2 linked regions of the Tamandua tetradactyla genome follow. The main gene of each other region encodes a partner of the protein of the gene in region 2 in a complex. Links are inferred from orthologs where the notes say so. Each region holds a gene or a part of one and is shown on either strand. Other genes may lie near its edges.

Region 1 (8,252 bases), on a different chromosome or scaffold from region 2:
AGAAGCAAGAAGCTTAAATCAAGGAAGGGAGAAGCCAGCATATGCTGTCATATGCCATGTGACTGAGAAGCCAAAGATCGCTGGCATTCTGTCTTAGGGGAAAAAAGCAGTAACTTGATAATGCCTTGAATTGGACATTTTCGTGGCTTCAAAACTGCAAGTGAATAAATTCCCATGGTTTAACCCAAAAAGAAAATAACAACAAAACTTATATTCCCGCTATAAACTCACTATTCCACCCACATACCCTATATATTAACCACTCACATTCCATGCCCTTCATACTTCCATGCTTTGGCTCAGTAGCTTCCCTTGCTTGAAACACACTTTGTCCTCTTCTCTTGTCTAGAAAATTTCATCTTATTCTTCAAGGCTCAGCTCAAATTTCACTTTTCTGAGAAGCCTTTCACTCAGGCTATGTTAGTCAAGGTCCCCAGGTCCCCGGTAAAACTCTGCTCCTAGCTGTGTCGGGCACTTGAACTGGGATTATGTACTTCTTTGTATTTCTCTCTCTCCTTCACCTCTAGACACCAGGCCCCTGAGGGCAGAATCTGTTTTACTCATCTCCAACTTCCCAATCCTTGCTTGGTGCATTACAGATAATAAATGTTTATTGAATGAATAAATGAAGAATGAGTGCTAGCCAAATACTAACCAACTAACCAACCAAACAAAAAGTAGTAAAGTGATGTAGGCATGAGATTAGTTCTGAGTTCAAATTGATTTACTACTTCCTCGCCCCATCACTTGCTGCAAGCTTACTGTGTTTGTTTGCTCACCACAAAATGAACATAATACCACTTACAGGTTTGTGGTGGGGATTAAACAACAATGCTAAAAGCAATTAGAATGTTAGCTATGATTATTAAAAGAATAGGAAAATCACATTATATTTTACAATTAAAAGGTAAACAAAATGAAATTTAGAATAGTAACAACCCTAATCACCCAAATGATGGAATCTACAAACCACAAACAAAACACCTAGTTTGCTTTGTACTCTGTGGGTACTCAAGTACTCATTAAGGGTAACAGAAAAACTAAAATTTCAATGATTAAGCACCAAAACAAAGTAAGTGGCAGAGATTTATCACCCAGTGACCTTCACGTTACAGAACTGTGCATCTTGGCTGTCAGTGATGTCTGCATCAAAAACTTTCCACTGAAACAGCATATTTACAGGAATGGAATAGGGAACTGGACAATTAAAAAATACTCAACTGCTTGAGTTTTACTGACTACAAATTTTTTACATTTAAAAAAATAATTTTGATCCAAATTTACTTATCCTCCTCCTTGGCAATTTACTGTGACAAGAATAAACATCTTTTTGCTCTAAGATTAATCAATTAATATAAACTTATACAGAATAGTCATCGTATGCAAATTGCTGTGGTAGATGTGTTTTTTTTTGGGGGGGGGACCCTAATAAGTTTAAGATTTGTTTTCTAGTCTAAGTGACCCTACTAATTATCAGGATTTCAAACAAATGGGCATTTAAAACTTATTAGAGAACAGCAGGATTCAGATCAGAAAGAAGTTAGACTTGTGAGAGTGGATGTCCTTAACCAAGGCAAGACAGAAACCTTTTCTGAACAGTATAGCTAAACCAAAATGTTCCTGCAGAGAAGTAATGGGTTATATGAAAGAAAAACTGAAGCCAGTAAACGCCAGACAAATGCAAGAGAAAACCAGTAACTAACACTAACAAGATGAGAAGTTACACATTAAGTATCAACTACGTTGTAGGTGCCCTATAACTTAAATAAAATCTATGAACTCCAAGAAAGCTGAATTAAAAGTTACAGAATCCCTACTCTTTTAAATCAGCAAAAAAATCGTATCCTCTCCTATTTTCCAGAAGTCTGTCTGAAGTTCAGAGATTAAGAAACTTGCCCAAGGTCATAAAGGTAGTAACTAGTAGAACCAATTTAACAAAAATCTAAGGTTCATATTCTTTTCACTTTATCATATGGTCTAGGGTTTTTGAGCAGAGAACACATGATAAAAATACTGTAAGAACAGAAAGGTTTAAGTTTTCAAATAATTCAGACTGGACACTGTGTGTGTGGAAGGTAGCGGAGACAGCTTGTAATTTTGAGCTTGTATGAACTGAGGGAATCCTGCTTCTTACAAAAAAAAACAAGCAAGCAGTTAGAAGAACAAAGCAGTTATGACTACATAACTACAGTTACGACTAGTTAACTGACTGTACTGCTTCAAGACACAGAGGGTGTAATAAGAGGAAACAAAGGGCCTGGCTAATGAGTTAGTATGAAAACTCATTCTCATTTTACTTACTAAAGATAAATATTTTATGCCCCTGCCAACCCAAGCCATCACAAAATATCTGAAAGCAATTAACCACTACTATACATGCTGTGTAACAAATCTCAATAGTCTAGTGAAAAGGGGAACAACTGCCTTTGAAAAAGAAATTTAAAAGAGTTGGAAACTACTGAATTATTGCTATGCCACATTTGGGGGTAGGGGTGGAAGCAGCCAACAGGATATATGCCGGCAAAGGTAATAATTTAGTCCTGGGCACTTTCACAACTTAAGGACACCTTGGATCTTGCTCTTACACAATAAACATCTGATTAACCTAAGTAAGATTTGATTTCTCTTTATGTCCCCAAAAGCCTGAAAACTCAGGAAACTTGGGGCCGTCTCTCTGACAGCAAATGTAACTGTTTTATAATTATCTGTTTATGTGCCTGATTTATTCATATATTTATTTCTTAAACCAAAACACTTAATATAGAAATCTCACTTAAACGAATGAATGAATGTATTTTTGTTCATGGTTTTTCAGGTAAATTTTGCTCCCCCAACCCCCACAGAGGAATTCCAAGCGAATAAATGAGGCTTGGAATTATCCAGACCATTTGGGGAAAACCTAAGCTCCACTCGTTTGAAATCTTTCACCTTGCGGACACACATCACGATACAAATAAGGCCGGAGGCCTATTTTCCCTTCCTCAACGTAGGAACAGGGGAAAGCGAAGCGTAGGGATGCGTCCAAGGTCACCACAGCCGGCCGAGGGAACAACTAATGACTCCACACCGGCCAAGTACGCTTTGGGTTGCGAAGAGGCTCCGAGACTCCATCGAGTTCAAGCCTGGACCTTTCTGACCATCCATCGCAAGGTCACCGGGGTGCTGAGCGCTGGGGGGCGGCGACGCTGCTTCACGCGGCCCCGGAGATACACGGCTGAGAAGCCAACTGGCCGTTCAACTCCGCGATGCCCACGTTACCAAGCCCACATCATCGAGCCCGCGGTTGAGTTCGGCTTTCACCTAGAGAGCAGGGATAGGAGAGAGGGAGGGCCGTGGGCAAAGGGGCAGGAGAAAGACAAGGACAGTACATAAAGCTTACCAAGGTTCCCGGGCGTACTCCTCCATCTTGACTGCACCGGCGCGAGCGATGCCGGGCGAACTGGGCGGAGCCTGACCCCAGCGGCGGAAGTGATCCCGAGAGCAGGGCGTTGTAGTCTACGGGGAGTGGGTCACCGTTTCCTCCCGCAGCCAATGGGAGCGCTGACTCCTGGGTCAGCGAGCCCCGCCCCGCCCAGGTCCTAGAAGGCGCGGCGTCAGGATTGCGTGGGCGGGGAGGCCCCTGAGTGGCGAAGGGTTCAAATTACCCTGAAATTATGCTGAAGGTTCGGTGATCTGAGATAGACTTGGTATCACGCCGCTAGGGTTCACCGAACTTTAAAAGTTCACTTAAATGCGTTTTTTTTTAGTTCTTTGGATGGCGATCGTGAATGAATGCTATTGTCATGAATTGCGAAGTTTTTATCAACTTATTTGAGCTCTTTTAGGGAGGACAAATGCCTTATCCCTTTTTTATAGTCAGTGTCTGGGATGTAGTAGGTCTAAATAAGTGTTTGCGAATGGAACTAACTAGGCCAACTGATGTGCTATGACCAATTTGGGGCCCTCCATTTGAGAGACACAGAAGACTCATGTGGGTCTTCCTCCTAATGAGTTACCAGGAGATGTGAGGGATGTTTAGCCCAGGAAAGAGGAGACCGAAAGCGTGGGGACCCATTGGCTCCTTCGGACTTAACAGTCCACAAAACCCCAGTCGTGCAGGAAGCTGTTAAAGGAGCTCTTCTCCATTTAGCACTTTAGTAGTTGACTTTATGTATATGTTTATTTTATGGAAACTTAAGTGTAATAAATATAGTGGAGACTGCAGGGACGAATGAGGTCCCTCCCGAAAGCTAGGAGATAAGGCAAGCACATGAATTGAACACTATATAGAACTGAAGATTGTCAGTGAATGCGTCTTGTGCAGGAGAAGTACAACTCGTTTGAGTAAGTTCAAGAAGACCTATGGGACTAGGTGATGTTATCAATAAAGTTTAAATCTAAGTGTACAGGCTGGTGAAAGAATATAGAAGATGGACAATGAGGAACCTAGAATAAGGAAGTCAAAGAGAAATTTTTTCCTATTTAGTCAGCACTCCAGATCTGGTGGGCATAAATATTTCAGTAACTAGAGATATGTACTCTTGTTACCAGGCAAAGGTTGTGGATTCTTTTGTCTTATGTGCTCAATAACCAATTCCTGAGATACCAGAGATTCAACAGGAGAGGGAGTTTATTGCTACGTGCATAGTAGGAGAACAGATGGCCTAGCGGTCCAAAACTCTGTCTCCTGGAGTTTAGAGTATTCAAAGCTTTTAGGAATTTTACCAAGGGAAGATGAGATCATTCCAGATAGCAAGTTCAAAGCGAAAAAGAAGGTAGTGTTATCACTATCATTTTCATAGGAGGACATAAACTGAAAGGAGGGGAGGTAGACTATCACTTCAGTGCTAAAGGTGTAAGCCAAAAGGAAGGGAGACAAGTTAGATTTCAATGGCAGAATCTAGCTGATATTATTTACAAATGTCCAGGGCTGAAGCTAGTTAATGGCTGACTTTAAATTCTTCAGTAGCATTAGGGCCTTTGCCCTATAAGAAAACGTCCAGATAAAGGGGTTACAGCCCTTACAGTCACAAAGGCACGAGATAATGGCTTTTACAAACATTTCAGGTATCAGGGCAGCTGGATTACAATTTAGAAATTGCAGGTATTCCCTTCCGTTTACTCCAATATCCCAGAAAGCAAAAAGGAATATGATTCAGTAATCAAAATCATCCCTTAAATCCTCTGTGACACTGTCATGAGACAGGGATATTTTCCTGGTCTTGCTAGGGCCTGAATGAAACATCCTTTTCCTCTAGCCACCTCCCTTTGCTCTTTGTCCACCTTTGTTATGCAGTCCTCTGGTTGATATTTAGTTTCTGAATAGATTTTCCTATAGGAGAGAATGTCCTAACCTTTGCTCCTAAACTATTCTTGACTACTTTGTAGTTAATTTGTTTTATGCATCTGCGTTTTATGAGTTTGGCTCTTTTGAATCAAATCAATCACCAGTAGAGGTGATAATATTGTTTCTGAGTTCACAAAGCAGAGGGCTAGACTTCAACTGTAGTTACCCAGATTACTTCATTCCAAAAGTCTTTATCCTAAAGGAGCTTACTGTTCAGGGAGGCCCTGCTCAAGTAACCAGCCAGCATCATGAGTCTTCACCCTCTGCTCTCTTTTTTTAAAAATTTTTTAAAGAAAATGACAAGAAAGGAACACAAATATTCTTAACATACGATCATTCCGTTCTACATATATAATCAGTAAATCACAATATCATCACATAGTTGCATGTTCATCATCATGATCATTTCTTAGAACATTTGCATCCCTCTGCTCTCTTTTAACTGCAGCAGATAAAGGGTGTAACGGACAGTTTTGGTGGGGCAAGACCTAAGATTTAGCCTTTGTGAACTAGAAGAGGAAGATGTCACCTCTCCCTCCAAAATAACCACTTACATTTGGTTCTAGGATGCTGAACTTTCTGGAAGAAAATAGATGGGGACTCTTTAGGAGTCTTCCCTGAGTGAATCTTAGAAGAAGTTTAGAGGATCTGGGTTGGCCGCTGAAGGAATGGTCAACGGAAAGATAGAAGAAAACAGTAGGAATCCTTGAGAGAAAACTCACCGTAAAGGTGACAGGTGTTTGAACTGATGACTCAGCACACCAGGATATGTTTTGCTGCAAGTCAGTGTTTTGGGACCAGTGTGGGACTCATGCTTGAACCCCCTGTGATCTCTGTGCTCTGGTATTGTTTGGAGGCATATACCTCTGTATGTGAACATCTCCCACCTGTGTTGATGAACTTGGTGAAGTAATGAGTCTGGCTGTGTCAGGTATCTTCTTCCATACCGTAAAGTAATTACCCACCCCACCCACTTCCTAGTCCTCAGTTAGCTTTTATTCATCTCCCTGTCTTGCACAGGTAGAGCTGTTGTTTTTTTCTTGGATGTGGGTGAACTGGTAGAGGTTAGGATTGGGGAGAAATGGCCATTTAATAGATATTAAAGGTGGATAGGTAGTACTAGAACGCGATAGTAACTAGTGGGATTAGTCAACTGTAGGTCAATTATAAGACCCCTATTCTATACTCATCACTGTCCTTAGTTTTAGGGTTGGAATGGGGGAGTACAAAAAATACTGAAATGTTTCCTTTCCTGAGAGGCCTCAGTGTGGTTGGCGAGAAAGAATGCACCTTTAAGGAATAGATATTGGGTCAAAATTATAAAGTACCAAAAGGTGTGACATATAGCACCATATTAGCCCAGGCAGTTTTCAAAATTGAACAATTTGAATGCAATTGTGAACACTGAAACTAAGGACAGTGAGGAGCTCGTAGGGGTTCACGAAACTTTGGCGAAAAGTTGGTATTTAAGCCATGACTTGAGAATGGTAGGACTTTTTTTTTTTTTAAGAGAAATTGTAGTTTTACAGAAAAATTATGCATAAAATAGAGTTCCCATATACCACCCTGTTACTAACACCTGGCATTAGTGTTACGAATTCATGAAAGAACATTTTTATGATTGTACTGTTAACCATAGTTCATTTTTTACAAAAGGGTTCCTGTGTTATACATCTCTATGGGTTTTTTTAAAAATTTGTTCCATTAACATATGTACAACCTAAAATTTCTCCTTTTAACCATATCAAATATATAACTCACTGCTGTTAATTATGTTCACAATGGCTGCCATCACCACCATCCATTACCAAGACTACCCCAAATCGAAACTCTGTACATTTTTTTTTTTTTACAGTTTTTCCTTTTATTAACAAGCAAAATAGTTAAAACAAAACAAAACAAAAAACCTATGCACAATGACAACCTTAAATTTGGAACAGCAGTACTGCTGGAGTTCACAGATGTACCTGGGGTACATGCTCCCTCACTGCAAGACAAGACCTAGGCACATGACTGTGCATTTAGGTATATGTGACTAAGAAGAACCAGAGTGACTGAAACCACTGGAGAAGAGAAAGTATCAAGAACTTTTCATCAGGCAATCCCAAAGCGCTCTGCTCTTGTCCTCTTCTTTGCCTCTGTATCCTGTGTGGTTCCAGTTCCAGCTGAACTAGTGACAATCCCAAATCGCTCCTTCCACTTTTTCAGCTTTTCGTCATCTTCAGATTTTCTGGAGATTGAAGAAACATTCAAATCAAATCTTTGAGCTCTTTCCTTTAGCTTATCCAGGTTAACCATAGGTTTGGTGTCAGATGATGGGCTTTTTATTGGAACTGAAGAAATGCCAAACCTAGCTGCCCGACAGCTTTCTTACTCTCCAAGCTCACAGGAACATTGAATCATTCAGCTCTTTTCTGCATTCTCTCAGTCTGTGGTATTTCAGATGTATTTTTTACCACTTTCTTTTCTGCTGACACATCAATAGTTTTTTCAGGGAAGTTTTGGCAGGCAGTTCTAAGGGCTTTGGTTCTTCTTCCTCTGTTTCATCTCCCAGTACATCTTCTTCATTTGCCTCCTCTTCAGCATGCTCTTCAAGATATGCCTGGAGCCTGTTGATGAGATCTTGTTTAATTCCTTTGGTTTCCAAACCACAAGCACGACATTCCTGCTTTAGTTCAGCAAGCTTCAGCTTATGGAGCTCCACCGTCTCTGCCGCCATCTTGTTACCCCCTCCACTCCGAAACTCTGTACATTTTAAGCTTTAACTCTCTATTCCTTACCTCTTACTTTGTCACCTAGTAACATATAAGTCTAGATTCTGACTCGATGAATTTGCTTATTCTAATTTTTTCATATCAGTGAGATCATGTAGCATGAGTCATGTCTGGCTTATTTCACTCAGTATGATGTCTCCAAGTTTCGTCCA
Region 2 (8,545 bases):
AGGGGGAAACTGTACCTAATGCAAACTATGGACTATAGTTAACAGTAACATAATATTCTTAAGTCAACCATAACAAAGATACCACATCAATGTTACGTGTCAATAATGGGAGGCATAAAAGGCATATGGAGTTTTTCTTTTTGGAGCAATGAAAATGTTCTAAAATTGATTGTGGTGATGAATGCCCAACTGTGTGATTATACTGAGAGACAATGAATGTACACACTGGATGGACTGCATGGTGTAGGAATAAAACTGCCTTAAAAATTTTTTTCAAGTTAAAAAAGGAAAAGGATGAAGCAAAAAAAAAGAAAATAGAATGAAGCAAGATAAAACATACACGCATTATGTGATTCATTTCTCTATATAGGCAAGTTTCTATACCTTTCTGATTCAGTTGTCTTGATTGCTTTAGTGTCCATCCAACTGGTAATAGTCTTTTGTTTGAAAACTGTAAAAAAATAAAATTAATATATATGCATACATTCCTTCAAGTAGACTATCTCTACAGCATACTATACATGCAAGGCACTATGTTAGGTTCTGTGGTCAAACAAAGATTAATTACTTTCTTCTATCCTCAGACAACAGGATATAAGTGAGAAGCATAACTATATACATATGGCATAGGGTAGAAGATGACTGGCCCCTAAAAGAGTTTGTATGGCTTTATACATGAGGCGCAGGCTCTGGAAACAGACCACCTGGATTTGAATCCTGGCACTCTCACTGTGAGAGGTCATTTCTCTGTGTCTCAGATTCCTTATCTGTAAAACACGAATATTAACCGTCTCTCAGAACTACTGACCAAGGGCACAAACTAGTTCTTGTGAAAATAAAGAGTAAAAACTGAGGAAAAACTACAGACTTCACAATGACTGGAAGTTAAAGATGACTCTAAGCTCCAAACCTGAGAGACTTGAAGGATGATAATATTAAGCAGAAATGGGAAATACAGACAAATATGTTTGAACAAAATATGATTGGGTAAATACAAAATACGAGCTGCCAAAGAGATGACTGAATAGAAATGACTGGTAAACAATAGCAAAGGTAGAATCAATGGCTCAGGAAAGGGAAATGCTATATAACAAATCCAAGCCACATTTTATACGAGCTTTAGAAATAAGTGAGCTGTCAAATTTTAATGTGCTGGTTATGGGCTAAATGTATATAAAATTTTAGTATAAGGACAGATAAAATCTTTACATTCTCATCTACTCTCCAAATTGCAATGTAAGAATCTAGGCACCTCCTTAAGTCAAAGACTCAATTCATACCTATGTCTTCTCAAACACTATAATGTAAGCAAAAGAGATGCTGGCTCAAACATGCAAATCAACCGATTATCTACATCTGAGATGATAGAGTAATTAAAATACATTTCAGATTTGAAGAGACTTTTATACCAGAAAAATATTCAAAAGACATGTGATTTATATTTGCCATAAAGTACTGATATTTCAATTAGTAAAAATCTTTCATTAATAGATTTTTAAATAGTTTCTATCATAAAAATTACATATAAAATATTGAAGTTTATGATTCTTCTTGTTAAGTACCATTATTTTAGTGATTTTACTTAGTAAAATCTCAAACACAAGATTGATTCAAATAACAGATTCATTCTTTGAGTCAGTTTAGAATTTAAAACACCTTTTCCATAAACGTAAGGATTAAACAGAATGCAAAGACTAGGTCCCTCTAACACACATGAAACAGTACTACAGTGATACATCTACAGAGCCTAATAACTATATACAACATTATTTCGTGAAAAACTGTGATGAGTGTTCCAGTTAAGTACAAGGGGAAGAGGGCTCTCTCCTGCAGCCCTGACATGGAGAATCTGTTTTGTCTGGCTTCAGGAATTCTATAACCTGGAAACCTGAGAAAGGTATGAAGGAAAAGAATCAAGAGGTGAAGGGCCATTATTTTCTGCTAATAAACCATTTCTTAGTGTGGGCAGTCTTTCTTGCCTTCAAGTACCCTTGGTAAAGGACTGCTACTTCTCTTTCCCGCATCACTGCTCTGGCTTTCAAAGGTTTCTTACCTAACACATCACAGGACTGTTATAAGATGTTACCACTCTGATTCCTAAAGTAGCATAAAATCATGCAGAGGCTTCTTTCTTTTAACCAGAAATAATGAGAGCAAGGCAAAAGGGAAAAAGGAGAAGGAAAAAAGATACAAACTCTGGAGTCATGCAGCGTTAGGTTGAAATTCTGGCTCTATCATTTACTAATACCAGCTCGGGTGAGTTACTTTCCTTCTTTGAGTTTCTACTACTCTCTTGTAAAATGGGGTCAACAACACATACTTCCAAGGGTGAGAAGAGCACTCTAGGTAGTCATAACAGGCAGAAAAGCGGAGCTTCTATAGCAACGCAATTGGGTAAGTTATTCCTGACCAAGATACGAACAGCATACTGATTTCTACCTATATGTACATTCACAGATTTTAATATGAGAAACATACATAGGCAGATAAATAATACCAAATGTAAAGAAAACAAATAAATGTCCATTTCCCTACCCTACCTATTCTTCTAAAATAACTAAATACAGGTGTTTTGTTTTTTTTTTTAGGAAAAGAATTTTACTAAAAGATTTTCAAACTATGAAACAATAATTTCTGATATACATTTACTTTGAACATTCTATTAACCAATGTCCTATGTCAGGTATAAAAGAAAATATTTACACAGATGGGGTACAGTCCAAGTATTAATCTGGTTCCTCTTCTGCAGAAAACTCAAGATCCAAACAATGAGGCTTGACTATTTTACCCCCAGGAATTAGCCCCACCTCCTTTATATACAAATAAAATGAATGGAACCACAGAGTACCCTCTCACAGAAGTCAGATATAGTGCGTTGAGGTTATCCTCAATTCCTCTCCCTTGTACTCTCCTTTACCACATTCGCTGAAATCTACATTCTAAATCTTAAATCCATTCCTTCCTCTCCACCTTCAATAGCATTATCATTAAAAGAACAGTTACATCACCTATTAGTCAAGGGTATTTGCTTCCTTCAACTGGCCTCCATCACTCTTTTCTACAGTCTTAACATTCTCTAATCGAGTGTTTTACAAACTTCCAAAAATGATGAGCATTTTAAAAATGAAAGAGGATATAAGAATGCACCATACATAATTAAGGTAGGTCTTATTTCATGAAATATTTGTTTCAGTCATAAATATGAAATATTTACCACATTACATATATTTCTTACTCTGTATACTAGATAAAATGTAGTCTGCAGGGTGTAGGCAGAAAAAGTCCAAAAGATACTTCCAAAGACATCCTTCCTAAAATATTAACCAAATGGCATTCCTCTGCTTAAAAGATGTTAGTGGCTTCCATTACCTATAAGCTCTTGCCCATGTTCTCACCCTCACTCCAACATTCCTATCCAGTCCTACCAACTTTTGCAAGAGCTGTTTCCTCTGCTTATATAATGTTTTCTCCCCTTTTATACAGCAAACACTGTTCCTCCTTCAAGACTTAGTTCAAGTCTGTCTCCATTGTTTCTAAGTCCCAAGAGACCTACATATAAACCATTCACCATAGGCCTACCTGACTTTGCCCAGTTGATTGATGCACCTTTTTGAAATGTTCTCTTCTCTGCATGGCACCACAGAGGCAAGCATTTTCTGCTATCTCCCTGGTTTCTACTCTTTAGTATTCACTTAAATGTTGGTGTTCCTAAAGGTTCTGTCCCAGGTTGTGTTTACTTATCTCAACACACTTCATTTGATCTAATCTATTTCCACAGCATCAATTACATATTTATGCCAAGAACTCCCAAATCTACACTTCTGGCACAGAGCCCCATATCCACATTTCCCATTCTTTTCTAAAACCATCCACTATTTGGATATCCAAGTCTAAGCACTATTATCTACTACCTAGACTAATTCTTAACTAATCTTGGGTCTCATCCACCTCTGCCTCCTTCCAATGTTTTACGTTTTCCACACACCAGCCACAGGGAGTTTTCACACACACACACACACACACACACACACACCTGATCAGTCACTCCCCTACCCACTAGAGGGTTCTCCTTACCCTTAGGAATAAAGTTCAAAAGCCTCAGCACAAATTGCATGACCAGTTATGACCTGACCCTTGCCTACCTCTCTGCAGTTATTAGTCTCTTCTATACACCAGCCGCACTCCTGGAATACTTCTCTATCTTCTCTTCACTCAGTCAACTCCTACTCATTCTTCAGGCCTCAAATAAGCATCCCATTTTGGGTCCCACAGTCTAAGCTAGGTGGTACTTCTGACTTCCACTGTTAAACTCTGTCCTTCACTTATGACAACATCCATTACCCCTTATTATATTGACTTTATAACTGTTTATGTTCCCTGATAGATTTTTGAAGGCAGAAGCCAGGAAGTTCAGCAAGAGAACCACAGAATGGTTCGCACAAGGCCAGAAAGGAATGATGGGGGTCCCCGGGTCCTAAGAGACCGGGAAGAGATTCGAGTCCGGGAGACAGACAAAGACTTTTATGCTCCCACGTACCAAGAGAGGTGGTGCTGCCTCTGTGCGGTCCCGCCCGCCCCGGGACGCAGCCTGGAGAGGACGGTGGGACCCTGAACTGCACGGGAGCGTCCTTGAGGTCGAGGACGCGCTTCTGCCTGCCGGGGAAGCCGCGGGTGTCCGAGGCGGCCGGCGGAGAAGTTGCAGCGGCGCCCCAACGGGGTCGCTTGGTGCACGGCTCACAGCCAGGGCCCGCATTCATGCTGGGACCCACGGCGCACAGTTCCCGGGCCGACCCCGGCGGAGAGTTTCATTCACTAACCCTGAGAGGGACGGACTGCGCCTCCTTATCGGCGCTTCCCCACAACATTCCCTCTCCGCCGCTGCCGGCTTCTGCAGTTGCTGCTCCGCGGGCCTCCCAAGCCGGCCCCTATCCAGGGGCCTGTCTTCCCTCTTCTACAGGGACCCCCACCTGCCTCAGGATGCGCCGCTTTGACTCTGGCTTCGTTCACTTTCCCACCACCGGAAGGTTGCCGTCAGGTACTTCCGGCTTCCGGGGCGTACGCTGTCGCAAAGCGGAAGTGTGGCGAGTTTAGCGAGCGCTGCCGTCCGGAAGGTCAGCGTGTGAAGGAGGCGGTGGCAACGCGGGTCTCCCCGCGGTTAGTGAGGTGCAACGGCCGAGCGGACGACCCCGGCTTGAGGCATCGGCTGGAAGCAGGCGCAGGCACACCATGGAGGGCGGCGGGGGAAGTGGAAACAAAACTACGGGGGGCTTGGCCGGCTTTTTCGGAGCCGGCGGAGCGGGTTACTCGCACGCGGATTTGGCCGGCGTTCCTTGTAAGTATCGGGCCTAGCCTGCGACTATTTCTGATTCTGATTCATTTTGCGACTACACGACCTTGTGGTATTCCTTATTCTTTTTATTATTTTTTTTGCGGGCATTCACAAGTTTCAGTTCCAGGAGGGGTTAGAGTGTCTTTTGAGGATTGAAAGGATTTGGGGGCCCGTGAATCCCGGAGAGGCTCTCTGAGGTTGACCTGAACTCTGATGCTGCTTGTATTCTCCATTTTGTATCCAAAGTGGTGCTTTTTCTTTCTTCGGATACGTTGCCTGTGTGTTTGGCCCTTATATTAAGAGGGAGCCCAGCTCTGTGAGTAAATATATTCCATATAGCGAGTCTTTAGATAGCTTATTAACAGCCACGTATTCGACATCAATATCCATTTCCCTACCTAGCCGTGAAGGCAAAACGTTGAATAATTGTGTCCATTTAAGAGGTAAACATATATGAGTTGAGCCAAGCCAGGAAACCATATGAAGGAACTGGGAAGTGAGCTGAACTTTAAAGGTGACTTACAGACATGAAGAGAGAAGCCAAGTGGGGATTCTAGGTGGAGAAATATGCAAGATGCAGAGTGCAGAGACGTGGAAACCCTATCCCTGCCCTGCCCTCAATCCTAGGAATATGCATTTCAGGTGTTTGAAACTTGTTAGTCGTAGATATTCAACTGTATAAATTAGAAGTTGGACATAAAAATAATAGAAAGTTGGTGGTGGATAAGCCCTTTGCCAAAGTATTTTCTCTTTGGAGAATCCCTGGACATGTTTCTGTAGGACTTTCACACTCAAGGACAAAAAGTGCCCTTTTATATACATAGTGTCACCAGTATCAGAACTGGGTCCAGAACACAAATTATACTATATGTAATGACTTAGGCACTCTGAATTTCAGAACACAAAGGGAACTTCCTTAATGTGATGAAATATTGTTAAATTGATTTGATTAGGTTAAAGATTTGAAGATTAAATTGAGGCACTGTAAGGTGAACAGTGTTAATTAAGTACCTCCTACAGTGTGCCAGCTGCTTTTCAGGGTGAGGGGCTACAGCAGTTTAAAAAAAAATTTCTCCATTTGTGGCTCCTGCATCCTCCTGAGGTGAGCCAGTTAACACATAAAAGCATTTTGGATAATGACAAGTGCTGTAAAGGAAATAAAACAGGATCATGAGATGGTCATGGGACAGGGGTAATTTGGAGCAGGTGGTCAAGGGAAGCCACTCAGTGGAGATGACATTTGAGCTGTGACCAGACAGAGAAGTTGGCTAGTATGCGTGCCATTAGACAAAACAGTCATGTTTGAGAAACAACTGACTGTTAAGCCAGTGTGTCTGCAGAGTTGCAAGGGGGTTGAAATGGTAGGAGTTAATAGGTCAGAGAGGCTGGGAATCACAGCTAAGGTAAGTTTTGTAAACCATCCTGAGGAATTTGGGATTTGATCAACTATAGAGAAAAACCATTAGAAAGCTTTAAGTAAGGGAGTGATGTGATTGAATTTCCTTTAAAAATCACTGATTGGTATATAGAAAGTAACCAAAGGGGCAGGAGGAAGCAAGAATTCCAGTTAGGTAGGAGTCTGTGGCTATAGTCAAGGTGAGACTTGATGTTGGACTAGGGTAGTAGCAATGGAGATAGTGATAAATAACAGTTTAAGATCTATATTGAAAATAGAACAGGACTTGGAATTGATTAAAAAGACAACAGTCATGGGTAATGTAGACATTTGTGAGCAATCACTTGAGATATGGAGGTAGTCAGAAGTTAAATTTTTAATGAAAGAAAGATGATTTTCCTAGATATAGTTTTCTCTCTTTAAAGTTAGTGAAATTCATTTCTGCATCTCTGAAGGTTTGTATTTTCTTTGGTCACTACCCATCCCCATGGTGATGACCAAAGAATTCTCTTCCCTGCCGTGGTAACTCAAGACAGCAACTGTCAGCTCTAAGATCTGAAGAAACTGCCTTAAACACACGTTTTTTTCCCCCATGAAATTTGTCTTCTCTTGGTCTTATTTTGCAATTTGTGTAGTTACCAAGCATTATTTCAGCAAAGTAGAAAGTAGTTAGTTCTATAATTGACATAGGCTGTGTTTCCTGTTAGTTTGATGATTAAACCTATATTATGGCCCATATTTTCTTGGTGTGAGAATCTGCACCACCAGTGCAAGACCAAGTTGGGGCTGAGAGCCCCAGGAGGAGACACGCCCCCAGCCTGCCAGATAGGAAGGGTAAGCCTTAAGAGAAGGGCAGGGTGCATTGACAATCAGTGAGCCTATAAATTCGAATTACAAAACCCATGTAACAATCACTGAATTAACTCCAAATGAAATAGCTTTAAATAATTTTGTTGCAATACGACATTTTGTTTTTTCTCTAGTAACTGGTATGAACCCTCTGTCTCCTTATTTAAATGTGGATCCTCGCTATCTTGTGCAGGTAAGATTAAGATTAGTCCTTTTATAATTTTCCTAAATTGGTGTTTTATTTTGCCATTTTGGAAAACTGCTGGGTATTTATGATGACTTGGATGTTTGTATGACATGTACTTCTGAAGCCACCAAGTCTCTGGTCTCCCTTTTTTTTCTCACAAATCTTAGGTACTTGGCTTACATCTCCCTGAAACCAGTTGATTGACTTTCTTTTAAGGTTCATTTTCTTAAAACAACAAAGAATTAATAAAAAGAACAAATTGTGGTAGGTAGTTACAAAGTTTTTAAGAAAGCATTAGTACCAAGTTAAAAGTAAATGAAAATGAGGGTGTATGAGTGGTTCATTGGTAGTATACTCTCCTTCCATATGGGAGACCCAGGTTCGATTCCAGGACCATGCACCCCCCCAAAAAAGAGTAAATAAAAATGAAAAGCCTGGGACTCTTAAAACAGAATCTGTTTATATAAGAATAGGCGGAAAAATTTGTACCTCACTACGTGTTTATTTTATTAGGTCAGATTTATAATTTTGTTTAAAAGTTTATAAGAATTAACTTGTGATGAATGCAAACATTTGAAATTAGTAATATACAAATTTAAGATTTATATTAGCCTCAGCATCCTCAGTTTTGTTTTGTTTTGGTTGGTTGGTTTTGTATTTGTTTTTGTGTTTTTTGTACGGGGAAAATCCTTATTTACACAGGTAAAATTGTAAATGGCAGGTTTTTTAAAAGCTCAGTTTGCAGTATCACGGTGCCAGACTGAACTAATCCAGAGGCTTCAGC

The links.
Region 1: mitochondrial import inner membrane translocase subunit Tim23 (region 2) and TIMM17A share a complex: the UniProt entries of both Homo sapiens proteins name them as parts of the TIM23 complex. The link is inferred for Tamandua tetradactyla from reciprocal best matches to the Homo sapiens genes TIMM23 and TIMM17A.

Annotation. Positions count from the first base shown.
Region 1 is NC_135330.1:59,015,272-59,023,523, reverse strand, and holds the start of TIMM17A (mitochondrial import inner membrane translocase subunit Tim17-A), read right to left. Parts: upstream 3,496-8,252; 5' UTR 3,406-3,495; coding exon 3,380-3,405; intron 1-3,379. UniProt on the Homo sapiens protein: Essential component of the TIM23 complex, a complex that mediates the translocation of transit peptide-containing proteins across the mitochondrial inner membrane.
Region 2 is NC_135339.1:5,643,809-5,652,353, reverse strand, and holds the start of mitochondrial import inner membrane translocase subunit Tim23, read left to right. Parts: upstream 1-5,084; 5' UTR 5,085-5,226; coding exon 5,227-5,332; intron 5,333-5,423; exon of another isoform or gene 5,424-7,436; coding exon of another isoform or gene 7,437-7,559; intron 7,560-7,708; coding exon 7,709-7,767; intron 7,768-8,545. Other genes in the region: PARG (poly(ADP-ribose) glycohydrolase), read right to left, coding at 385-451, 4,538-4,757. UniProt on the Homo sapiens protein: Essential component of the TIM23 complex, a complex that mediates the translocation of transit peptide-containing proteins across the mitochondrial inner membrane.